Linked DNA regions of Oryctolagus cuniculus. Each later gene encodes a partner of the first gene's protein in a complex. Links are inferred from orthologs where the notes say so. Each region holds a gene or a part of one and is shown in the gene's direction. Other genes may lie near its edges. The genes, in order: EGLN1, EPAS1 and HIF1A.

What was found.
Region 2: the proteins of EGLN1 (region 1) and EPAS1 are in contact, whole or in part, in a crystal structure (PDB 7Q5X), measured with the Homo sapiens proteins. The link is inferred for Oryctolagus cuniculus from reciprocal best matches to the Homo sapiens genes EGLN1 and EPAS1. Residues at the interface, in NP_071334.1 of Homo sapiens: Gln239, Leu240, Val241, Ser242, Lys244, Ile251, Arg252, Trp258, Asp277, Ile280, Arg281, Ile292, Asn293, Gly294, Arg295, Thr296, Lys297, Tyr310, Val311, Arg312, His313, Val314, Asp315, Pro317, Asn318, Asp320, Arg322, Arg370, Trp389, Tyr390; in NP_001421.2 of Homo sapiens: Asp525, Leu526, Glu527, Thr528, Leu529, Ala530, Pro531, Tyr532, Ile533, Pro534, Met535, Asp536, Gly537, Glu538, Asp539, Phe540, Gln541, Leu542.
Region 3: the proteins of EGLN1 (region 1) and HIF1A are in contact, whole or in part, in a crystal structure (PDB 3HQR), measured with the Homo sapiens proteins. The link is inferred for Oryctolagus cuniculus from reciprocal best matches to the Homo sapiens genes EGLN1 and HIF1A. Residues at the interface, in NP_071334.1 of Homo sapiens: Gln239, Leu240, Val241, Ser242, Gln243, Lys244, Ile251, Arg252, Trp258, Lys262, Asp277, Ile280, Arg281, Ile292, Asn293, Gly294, Arg295, Thr296, Lys297, Tyr310, Val311, Arg312, His313, Val314, Asp315, Pro317, Asn318, Asp320, Arg322, Arg370; in NP_001521.1 of Homo sapiens: Leu559, Glu560, Met561, Leu562, Ala563, Pro564, Tyr565, Ile566, Pro567, Met568, Asp570, Asp571, Phe572, Gln573, Leu574.

Annotation. Positions count from the first base shown.
Region 1 is NC_091444.1:50,885,147-50,888,105, reverse strand, and holds part of EGLN1 (egl nine homolog 1), read left to right. Parts: intron 1-1,552; coding exon 1,553-1,620; intron 1,621-2,687; coding exon 2,688-2,752; 3' UTR 2,753-2,959. UniProt on the Homo sapiens protein: Cellular oxygen sensor that catalyzes, under normoxic conditions, the post-translational formation of 4-hydroxyproline in hypoxia-inducible factor (HIF) alpha proteins.
Region 2 is NC_091433.1:156,440,442-156,444,530, reverse strand, and holds the start of EPAS1 (endothelial PAS domain-containing protein 1), read left to right. Parts: upstream 1-1,164; 5' UTR 1,165-1,756; coding exon 1,757-1,782; intron 1,783-4,089.
Region 3 is NC_091451.1:8,816,726-8,820,956, reverse strand, and holds the start of HIF1A (hypoxia-inducible factor 1-alpha), read left to right. Parts: upstream 1-1,307; 5' UTR 1,308-1,406; coding exon 1,407-1,441; intron 1,442-4,231.

The DNA of each region.
Region 1 (2,959 bases):
CCTCGTCCTGAAGCTCAGTGCCTGCCTCTACCTCCCACTGCAGACTCTTTAAATGTTTTCTGACCCAGAAACTGCTTCATAGACCTTCTTTTCAATGAGATTTTGAGCTTGGTTTGATTGTATCCTTTTTAGATGAATAAATAACAGTTTGAAATAGTAAATCAGTGTCAACTCGTGTGGAACATAAGTACTCTGGGACCTGAGAGAAAGAGGAGGTGGTGTTAGACTGAGCAGTAAAGAGGCCAGAAGCCCAGCCGCGTTAGTGCAGCTCTGAGAAAGGGCAAGATCGTCCTAGTCGTGGTGAGGAAATTTGTGAGGAAAACGATAAGGCTGGCGAGTGAGAACGGCAGGTGGTGGGTTACAGTTGTTTCCTGGTAAGGACTTGGGGCTATGGTGGGAGGTGATCCAGAAATTAGAACTCTTGATTACTAAGTCACATGGACAGAAGACAGATATATCTGAGCCCTTTCCTATTACCAAGGCCACCAGAAAAAAATAGAAGAGGCCACCTGGCAAGAAAGGTGTTGAACTCTAGACAAAGCAGAGTGTGGCAGTCAGCAGACCCGTCTCTGATCGCAGCTCTGTCCTTCTCCAGTGAGAGATCCGCACCTCAGTCTCCTCGAGTTGTCCAGGTGCTCAGGTTCTGACTCAGCTCTGCATTTGGCTGTTTACTTCAATATGCTTCCTGGTTTAGTTTTGTCACATATACGGGGTCATCATTCGATCATGCTTGCCCCCCATGACCATTGACTAGAATTTGTAAGATATTTTAACTAATTGTTGCACTCTACTGAAGAATTAACGATTTGTGCCATGCCCTCAATTTTATAGTGTCTGTACATTTTCCCCCTTGCTCCTATCAGAAGATCTAACATGTACTATTTTATAAACTGGTGATGCCTCATTTATTTTTGGAATAAGATAGTCCAATTAAGTGTAATTTTCTGAAAAATGAAGTTAGCTACACTTTAAACCTCAGAACATAGTATAATTGTTTTGATAAAAATTCTAGAAAAGTCTTAGTATAATTTAACTCCTCTTGATGACTCAGGTTATAATTAAAAACATCCATCATTCCACTTTGCTATAATGTAATATGATATTCTCAGAAGCTTTTGAGACTTACTCTCCTTTCACTAAAGGCCCCAGGCTGCTGTGTATGGAATCCTTTTCTGTTTCTCACTTTTTCATTTAGTACTTCTGCTATGGATAATGTGCTGTTTCTGTAATAGCCATTCTTTTACCCTTTTGTTATCTGTTTCTGCTCTGTGGTGGGGTTGCAAAAAAGATAGTCAAGCAGTTTAAACAGATGTTTAAAAAGTCATAAATACTCAACTTTGTGACATCAATTTTAGCCTCTCCTGGTTCTCTGCTATACTCTTCAGTGTTGAGGCTACTGGAAAAGTGAGTTGTTGTACTCATTTGTCCTTTAGTATCATTCAAGTTTAGGCATAATTTTGGCATCACAAGTTTTAATATACCATCATAACAGCATACCACTACCCTACCCCCCAATGTGATCATTCTTACCCTATTCTAAATTTTCTTTTAGGTACGCAATAACTGTTTGGTATTTTGATGCAGATGAGAGAGCACGAGCTAAAGTAAAATATCTAACAGGTAAACATCATTTGGGGCCAGGGTATACTGGAACAAAAGTACCCTGCCATCAGGTGGTGCTTTCAGTAAATTCAAGTATAGTCTTTTTTAACACCATGAATAATTCTTGTTTTTGTCAGATTCATTAATTCCCTTTCTTAAAAAAGGACTTCCCTTAATGTCATCTTCATTATTATATTTAGCCTACAAAATTGCCAAAAGATTAGGAAAGTTTGAGGCAAAATCTGAGTAATTATTCAGTTATCGTCCAAGTTTTTCTGTGATTATCCTTTTCAGTCACAGGGGACTTGACTCTTGTTAATGGCCATCTGGCTACCTCTCGTTTGCCCCCAAGAAGGCAGTAAATATCCTTTCCTTTTTTAAGCATACATACTCTTAAAAAATATCCTCGATCTTCCATGTTCAATAGGGACATGAAGAAAGTTAATATAAAGGAGGTAAATTGAAATGCCAAAATGAGTGAATCAGCTTAGGCATGTGGACTGCATTATCTCCAGTGGTATACACAGACAGGTCAGCACACTTGTACCGAACCTGAAGATTCTTCGTTACACCAGTTCTCCTCTGCCCCCGCTCATGGACTCTCTCTTCTAGAGCAGTTGGTCTCAGTTTCCCATCTGATGGACCACTCGCTTTCTTTTCTTTAACCCTACCTGTATATCCAAAAGTCCATTAAGTGTTCACATTACTGATTAGCCATATTTTCATGAGCCATTGATAATCCCACTTCAGGCTTTTATAAACAACATACAAATTGAATGTTGATGGATTTTCTATGTATTTTTAAAGTAGTTATTTGTGGCAGAGCCCACAAATAATTGCTTTTTAAAATAAAAAGGAGACGAAATCATTCTCTATACAGAGGATGGTTTTACCCTTAAAGGTTTTACTAGTTGAAATGAATGCCTTCATCATAATAGAACACCACTGATAACATTTGGAAGTGCAAGTATAAAAGTTTTCAGATGATGTTGGTCCATACTGTTGGGAATTCAGTGGGAAGCAGTAGCAGAAGCTCTCTGGTGCCTAATGAATAAATGAATTTTATCTATTTTTTTACCTTGCAGGGGAAAAAGGAGTGAGGGTTGAACTCAATAAACCTTCTGATTCAATCAGTAAAGATGTCTTATAGAGCCTCTCATCCAGCAATACCCTCAGTTCACTACAATAATTGTTGACACTGTTTGTTAACTTGTGAATACAAATAAATGGGATAAAGAAAAACAGACAACCAGTCGGCATTTTAATAAGGAAAAGATACAACTGCTTTGTGTTGCATCAAACAGGAAGATTTTGACTGCTGTGACTTTGTACTGCATGATCCACTCCGAATCTGTGA
Region 2 (4,089 bases), on another chromosome or scaffold:
AACGTGGCGAGAGGCTCAAGCCAGGTCCTACACGATGATCTCGGGTCCCAGGGCGGAACCAGCCCTTTTAAAACTCATAACCACAAAGCCCATGGGCCCTTCCCCGGTATGCGGAAACTAGGGGCTTCCCGTGCCCCTTCCCGAGGGGCCGGTGCCGAATTGCGTAACGCAGGTGCAGAGCTGGAGAGCTGCTCAGCGCGGGGCAGAGGCGCGCACCCCAGATGCGCACCTGGGCCCGGCGCAGGGCGCAGGCTACTTGTGAAGCGCGCTGGGCAGTCCCGAGCTCCAACCACATGCAGGAGTCCTGGGAGCGCCCGGCTCTCAACACCTGTAGCCTCTGCGCTCCTAAGACTGCAATGGAACCCCAGAGACACGGGGGCCAAGCCCGAAATCGAGCGACTGGAGGACACGCAGCCAAATCTGTCCCCAAGACCACACTGGGCAGCCTGGCTGACTTCTCCAACGCTGACCTCTCCAGGATCCGCGCGTTGGTTCGGGGGTACAGAGAGCGGGAGGCGGCAGGCCCCACGGCTCCAGGGCCCTCCACCGCCCAGCGCCATAATCACACAGCCCGGTGCAACCCTGCAAAGTACTCAGGTGTTGGCCGAGGGGAGGGACGAGTAGGCGCACCCTGAGCCCAATTTCACGGCACAGTCATCGTTCGCCAGGCAGGACGCGGCCGCCAGGGTCCTCGGAATGACTGCCCCAGGCTGCGGGGACGGGGATGCGGGAGCGCAGCAGAGGGCAGGGGTTGTGCAAGGCCCGGCGGGCGCGGGACACTCTGCACTCGCGGTCCTGCCCTACACCCAAGGGCACGGCGGGGTCGGAAGGGCCTCGACGCGGTGGCGCACTCCCGCTCTCCCCCGCGCTCCCGAGGGCCGGATCCGGGCTGCCGTTTAGCTCCGCACAAGTTGTGCCTCCCTGGCGGCGGGGGTCCCATCCCACATCGACCTCCCCTCAGCCTCGATCTCAAAAACAACTCCCAGGTCTGCGGAGAGAGGAGGCGGGGCGGGCGAGGGCAGGGGGCGGGCCGGGGTCAGGGCAGAGGCGGCGGCCGCGCCTCCCCATTGGCCGGGGCGCAGTGGGCTGCCCGGCGCGCGGCGCGCAGCGCGGCGGGGCGCGGGCGGGCCGGGCGGGGGCGGGGCCTGCCGGCGCGCGCCCGCCCCCGCCCCCGCGCCCGCGCCCCTCGCACCGCCCCCGTGCTGGCAGCCCGCTGGAGTTTTAAAGTGGGCCGGCAGCTGCTGGAACCGCACTTCGGGGAGCGGCCAGCTGCACAGCCTCGGCGCTCGCCGCGCTCCGCCCCAACTCTCCTGAGGCGGCCGTACAATCCTCGGCAGTGTCCTGAGACTGTATGGTCATCTCAGCGGCCGCGCCAGCCCGGCCCGGACTCCTGCCAACGCCAGTCGCTTGGGCAACTTCTTTTAGGAAAACCCAGAAAAGCGACTCCTGCTCTAGGGAAGAGGGAACCTGGGATCCCTTCTCGCGGCTGACAACCTCTTCCCACCCCTTTCCCGACCCCGCCTCCGCGTGCAGGTTCCTCCCCGTCACCTCTCTCCACCCCTTGGCCCCGCACCTATCTGGCCGCCCGCAAGTTTCCACCTGACTGCGCGCGGCGCTCGGCACCTGCAACCACTTAGGATCTTTCACTGTGTCCCGGGCCCCAGGAAGCCCACGAGGACCAGCGCGAAGGCAGCGGCTGCATCCTTCTCTGGCCGGAGAACTCAGGCGCTCGGCGTCTGCGGCGGCCGTGGCGACAATGACAGCTGACAAGGAGAAGAAAAGGTAAGCTGGCGTCAGCGCCAGGGGAGAGCTGGCCTGAAGCCGTGGCCGGACCGCGCGAGCGCTTGGCAGAGGAGTGCGGAAGATCGGCGTGGCTGGTCTTAAGAGCAGGTGTGCCGAGTAGGGACGTGGAGCTGTGCTTGCGCAGCGGAGGGTTCTGTGGCCCCACGGAGACGCGGGGCCGCTAGTGCTAGGAGGCCGAGGGCGACGGCCGGCCGCGGAGTAGCGAGGCGCTTCCCGCGGTGTCTTCCAAATCTCAGGTTCCTGTATGCCACCCTGCCTCGACTAGCAAGTTGAAATGGCCCTGGGGGGATGCCCTCCACTTTATCTGGTCTCACGTGCGGGGGCAGCATCCACGCTTTTCTCTGAACCCTTGGGTCCTTCCAAATGCGTTCCCATGCCCCTGCTGTGCCCCAAGGGGCGGGAGGCAGAGCGCAGCCCCTGGACTGCGCCCCTGGCCAAGGAGCAGGGCCCCGCTCGCCAGGAGACCCCCCCCCTCCCCGCCGCCAACCCTCGCCAAAGCTTTGGAGAACCCCTTCTCCGTCCCCACACCTTTACCCCGCCGGAAAGTGGGTAGTGGGCTGTACTGCCCTTCGGGGACAGGTGTCTCCGTGTGCGGGGAGGAGATGACGACATGGGGCGCCCAGGGCAAGTCCGATGTCCGTCTCCCAAGAGGACAGGAAAGGACAGCCACCATCTGCTCTCCTGCCCTCGCGAGCCTCTCGGCACTGGGTGAGAGGCGACTTCGGCCGACTCTCTCGGCCCTCCTGCCCCCTCCCGGCCACTCCCGGCCGAGCCTCGGCGTGCGAGGGCAGGAGCGGCCGCTCAGTCCCGGGTACGGCCTCAGCACCAGCGAAGGCGGACGCCTCGCCGCCTTGCTCCGTTCTCCCCATCTCTGTCCCTGGGAACTGCGGCTTTCAGACCCGCGCGCTCGAGGCGGCGACCGGCCGGCCCGAGCCGCCGGGGACCCGCGACGAGGCGCCAGCGAGGCGGTGTGGGTAGGGGAGGGCTGACCCGCAGGACTCCGTGCCCGCGTCTATTTGCTGTGGTGCCGACTTCCGATGCGGGACGCGAGCCAGAAGCCCTGTATCCTCGGGTCGAAAGCGGCGGCTCCCACCTCGGGGCATGATAAGGACTAGATAAAAGCGAGCAAATCGCACCCGTCCTGGCGGGGCGCCCGGCCCTTCGCTCGCGGGTCGCTAGAAAGAGGCAGTAGAGCCCCGCACCCCCTTCCCGGCCACAGCCCCCTCCAGCGTCCCCGGAAACGGTAGCAGCACGGTCCTGGGACCCTCGGGGGGCGTCCCTGGAGCCGTGCGTCTTTTTAGCGCGACAAAACCTGGGCGAGCTCCCGATGCGTTTGGTGAACCTGAGGAAAGTGCCAGTGATGACTGCGGGACACTGAAACCCAAAGCTCTGGGCAGCCCCTCTGCTAGCGCGCGGGGCTGCGGAGTGGGCAGGGGACTTGTGCGTTTCACAGCTGCGATGTGGACCGGCGCCGTCGCCGAGGGGCGGCCTGATGGCTGTGGCCCGGTAGTCGCTGGTGGGACGGATGCGTGGAGTGTCCGCGTCTACGCGCTCCTTAGCGCCAGCTCCAGTGCTATTGTGAATATTAACAGTCGCGTGAAACTCGGAAGTGGGGTATGCTTGCGACATGCCGGGTTACAGTGCCACCTCTGTTAGCACCGGCCGAGGGGTGAAGGGAGCCAGAATGGGAGCCGGGGCCAAGTTGCATAATCCCACTGCACAGCTCTGACGAGGGTGGCCGCTTTAAGAACCACTGCGGGGCCAACTGCGAAAGCCGTGGAGGCTGTTTCGAGGGCTTCAGGCTGCCTGGGGGCTGCCCTGTGTGCCCTGCCTGGGCTTCAGAGTCTCAGCGTGGCGGGACCGGCCGCGCGCCCCTTACCATCCATGGAAGGAGTGGTCCATTTCCCGCTGGGCTGAAAAGGGCTGCCTCCCAGGAGCCTTGTGACGCCAAGGGGCTGAGATCCTTGGATAATCCCGGATCAGAGTCCGGTCGCCAAGCCAGCGCCAGATACAGGCACCTTTTGCTCCGCGCTGCGCACGGGTGGAAGGCGAATCAGAGGCATCTGTACCAGAAGTTTTTCAACTGCCCCCCCCCCACACACACACTGGACTTGGTTATTCCTCTGCTCCAGAAAAGTCAGATTCCATCTTTTATCCTACTCTGAAAGGAAAAATATTGCCGGACAGTTTTTCTTTTAATAAATACTTGCTCTGCATCTGCTGTATTTCTGTTGTCTTTCCCAGAAATGCAAGGTGATGCACAATTGATATAAGTGACGGATTCAG
Region 3 (4,231 bases), on another chromosome or scaffold:
CGCAGTGGCTCTTTGTGGAGCTCAAAATATGTTTTTTTTTTTTTTAAAGACTTGAGAGGCTTGAAATGTATGGTTCTAAAGACAAAAAAGTGCTTAAGTTTTGTTCCGTAACTCGCAGTCCTGTCAGCAAACAGGCAGTGCTAGCCAGCACCGTCGTGCCCGGTTCCTTCCAACCCGGCGGGCTCTGGCCCATGCCCCGGAGGCAGCCTGGGTTCCGGACTCGGTCTACACCGCGAACGCAACTCAAGGAGACTCTTCTGAATCCACGCAAGATCGTCTTGCAAAAGCGCTAAGAAAGCACAAAGAAAAGTGTGCCTAAAGCCATTTTTCCGACCCTCCCTGAAATGCAGGTTTATATATTCTCGCTTCTGAAAGCCGTTTCTACAGTAACTTCACACCTTCCTTCCTCGGAGAGAGGCGTGCAACAACGGGTCTGTGAGGTTTTCCCTGGCATTAACTTAAACAAGTTCGCGACAGAACGCCTCAGGGGCCCCGCGGGGTCCCCCGTGCCGTGCGGCAGAGCGCGGGCAGCCTGGCAGGAAGGCCGCGCCGCAACGCGTCCGAGCGGGGAGACCCGGGGGGCTCGCGCCCAAGCCGCCAGGGCTGCGCTTTCCCACAGGGAACTCGGCTACGCCGCCTGAGGGGAGCGCGGGAGCGGGAAAACGTGATGCAACCTCGGGCCCGGGCAGCCGCCAACTCCCCTCAGCAGCGCCTCCCGCAAGCCCGCCGCCGCCGTCCCCAGCGGCAGGCGCTGGGTGCCCCCTAGTCCCGGCGCAGACGCACCCCCCAACGCCTTTCTCTCCGCCCCGGCCGCACACAGACGGGCACGTGAGCGCCGCGGCGCGTCCCAGCTGTGCCTCAGCTGAGCGCCTCCGGATTGGCTGAGAGCGACGTGGGCTGGGGTGGGCACTGGCCGCCTGCGTCGCTCGCCATTGGCTCCCGAGCAGCCCGCCTCCCCCTCAGGTGAGGCGGGCCTGCGGGGGCGCGCGCGCGCGCGCTGGGCTCGGCGGGCAGGCGAGGGGCGGGGGCGCGCGCTCCCGCCCCGCCCCTCCCCTCCCCGCGCGGCCGGGCGCGCCTCCGCCCTTGCCCGCCCCCTGCCCGCTGCCTCAGCTCCGCCGAGCGCAGAGCCGCCTCGTCTGAGGGGACGCGAGGACCGTCCTCGCTGCCGAGTGGGCCCAGCGCGTCGGGCCGGGCCGTGACAAGCAGCCTGCGCGGAGGCTCGCGCCGGACTCCGCGCTCGCCGCCCCGCTCTGCTCTGCGAGGAGCTTCCCGCCTCGCACCCCTCCCCCGCCGCCGCCCCCACCCGGACTTGCTCTGCTCTCTCCGCGTGTGCAGGGAGCCGGCGCTTAGGCCGGAGCGAGCCTGGGGGCCGCCGGCCGGGAAGGCATCGCGGAGACCGAATCGCCATGGAGGGCGCCGGCGGCGCGAACGACAAGAAAAAGTAAGCCCCTTCCCCGCCCGCCCGCCCGCCGGGCCGCGGCGCTCCCGGGGTGGGTCGCTGGGCGGGCGGGGGTCGCCCGGCCTTTTTTTTTGTTGTTTCTGCCTCCTCTCCCCTCCCCTCTCTTTCCCCCAACCTCGCCGGCCGGGCTCCCCCGCTGTCCACGTCGCCATCTTGTCGTGGGGGGTGGGAGACGCCTCGAAAGTGCTTCCAGGGGGCCGGGGGTCTGCACGCCGCCGCCGCCGCCGCCCCCAGCCGGGGCTGCGGGGGTCCTCGCGCCGCCCCCCGCGCCCGCCGCGGAGCCCCAGCCTTGCGGCGCGGCCCCGTCCGGAGGGGACTTCGCCCCAGCCTGGAAGCCGAGCCCGCAGCTCGGCGCCGCCGCTCGCACCCGGAGCTTCCGCTCCCTCCCGGTGGCGGGGAAGGCGCGGGCCGGGCGCCCCGCACGCTGGCCGCGGCTCGCCGGCGGGTGCGGGGCCCCGGCGGCCGCGGCTGGGCTGGCCCTTGCGGCGGTCCCGCCGCGGCGGGTGTCGCTGCCTTTGTGCCGTGGTGGGGGGATTGGCCGCGGCGGCCTTCGGATGCTAACTTTTTAGTTTGCACGTGCAGGTTTTGTTTTTCGTTTTGTTGTTTTAATCGGCTGGAAAAACTTGCCCAGACTTGGGAGTCGGAGTAACGGGAATTGGGGGGCACATCGCCAGGCTGTAGCGGGAACTTGGGAAGTGGAGACTTGGGATCCAGGGAGCCCAGACGATGAGCAGGAATCCGTGCCTCATTCATTCCCGAAAATATCTTGGTGAAAATGTAACGGGCGGCTTCGATTTAGGCAGACAGTGTCAGTGAGGTTGAAAAGCGAAGTAGATGACCGGAGCAAACGAAATGCAACACTAAAGTGTTGGAGGATTTTTTTTTTTTCAGAACTGTCTCGTTTTCCTGATATTTTAATATATTTGAAGGAAACCATCAGCACATATCCAGATTGTGTTGGGACTTAAAGCAAGTTTATTGAACAGCGTGAAGTGTAAGAGGGGTACATTATAGAAAGATTAAGAATGGTGGAACCCGTGGTATTTACAGTACCCCCCTCCCTATTTTCTCCACTTTGGTATTTTCACCGTTGAGGAAATTATTTTAAGGAATTGAGGATTTATATAGTAGGAGTAGTAACGTAGGCTGGCTTTACTGTTAAGTCCTTCCACTCTTATGGGAGAGATTAACTTCTCTAATCAGTATGAGCGGAAGATAAACTTGTTTATATCCTTGCTGTTTTGTAGATTCTTTATCTTGGTCCCTATTCAATAGAATGTAAAATTCTCAGTTTATATACACCGGGGAGAGAGCACTTACACAATTTAAAACATGAGCACACAAGTCTAGATTTAATTTCAAGAGTTAACCAGGAATTAATTGCAATTAATTTTGCAGAAGTGATTACAGTGTTTTTGATGAAATGAAGAGGCTGCTATATTGTAAACCAAAGGCAGATTACCTCTGTGTAGTGCCAATTTTCCGTCCTTATTATATACTGAATCATAGTTACCACAATGCATTAGGTTGTGTACCAGTCACTTCCTTTTTATATGTAATACTTTACTGATTTCTTCTTTGCTATTCTTCAGTTAATACCAGAAGCCACTGTAAAATAAGTGAGTGAATAAATTAGCAACTACTGCGCACCAGCCCCAGCGCTAAATGAATTCTTTGGTTTTCCCCATTCCCATTGTTATTTTCAAAATTTTCTCATTTGAAAACTTAACCACCTGGGATCGAATGTAGTCGTAACACTTAATATGGAGATTCTTAATATAACTGAAATTTTAAGTTAAACAGTAAATAGTGATTACTCAGCAACTTTTGGATGATGTTAATTAAAAATGCCCTTTCCTGACTAATATTTCTTCAAGTTTTTGAAAGGTAACAGATTGAGGTGGAGATTTTCTTCTTGGAATTTTCCCAGTTTTAGAGGAGGACAAGGCAGCTGAAAATCAGAATTGAAAGAAATCAGAGCAGAGTGGTGTGGTTGTAATAGATTTAACAGGGAGTTTCATGTTGATTCCTTAGTTGTAGGTGCTGGACTTACTGAGAGCACAAGGATAATAGGGGTTTTTAGATTCAAAAGGAATGGCAGGAGGTTCTGTTTTTAGGCTTCAGGTCAGGTTCCTTCAGAGTTTTCCAAAACAAATAATTACTGGAGCATTGTAGTGAAATCTCTGAGAATAAACATTTCTAAATTTTCTTTTTTAACCTTGGCCACTAAGAGTCATTTATTAGTAAACTTTTGTTGTTGCAGTTTGACTTGTTTATAACAGCAGCAGGGCTAGAGATGAAGAGTGTAGAAGCTGGAGGCCTGAATCTCTGAGTTAGAGTGCCAGCCTTTCCACTTGTGAATTGGGCAAGTCCTGAATGCGTCCATGCCTAACTTTTCCTTTTGATGATAAGAAGCAGCCATCTTAACAGTTAATATGTATGGGAAATGAGATCATGCATGTAGAACACTTAGCCCAGGGTCGGGAATGGGGGAGTCTTGGTAACAGTTTGTGTACTTCCTAGTAAATGTTACCTGTTTAAGCTTTAAGTTTGAACTTCCACCACCCTTAAAATGCTTTTTGTAAGTTCTTCCAAATATTTCTTTCAGTTTCTCTTCTGTCTTCATGCATCTTTTCTGTATCTCCAAAAAATGAAAAAACTAACATTCAATTTGGATCTTGAAAAGAGTTCTTTCCTGTTAAAACAGCACCTCCAGGGCTACATTGGCATCTAGCATCAGTTGCTTTTCTTGAACATCTGCCCTGCACTCTA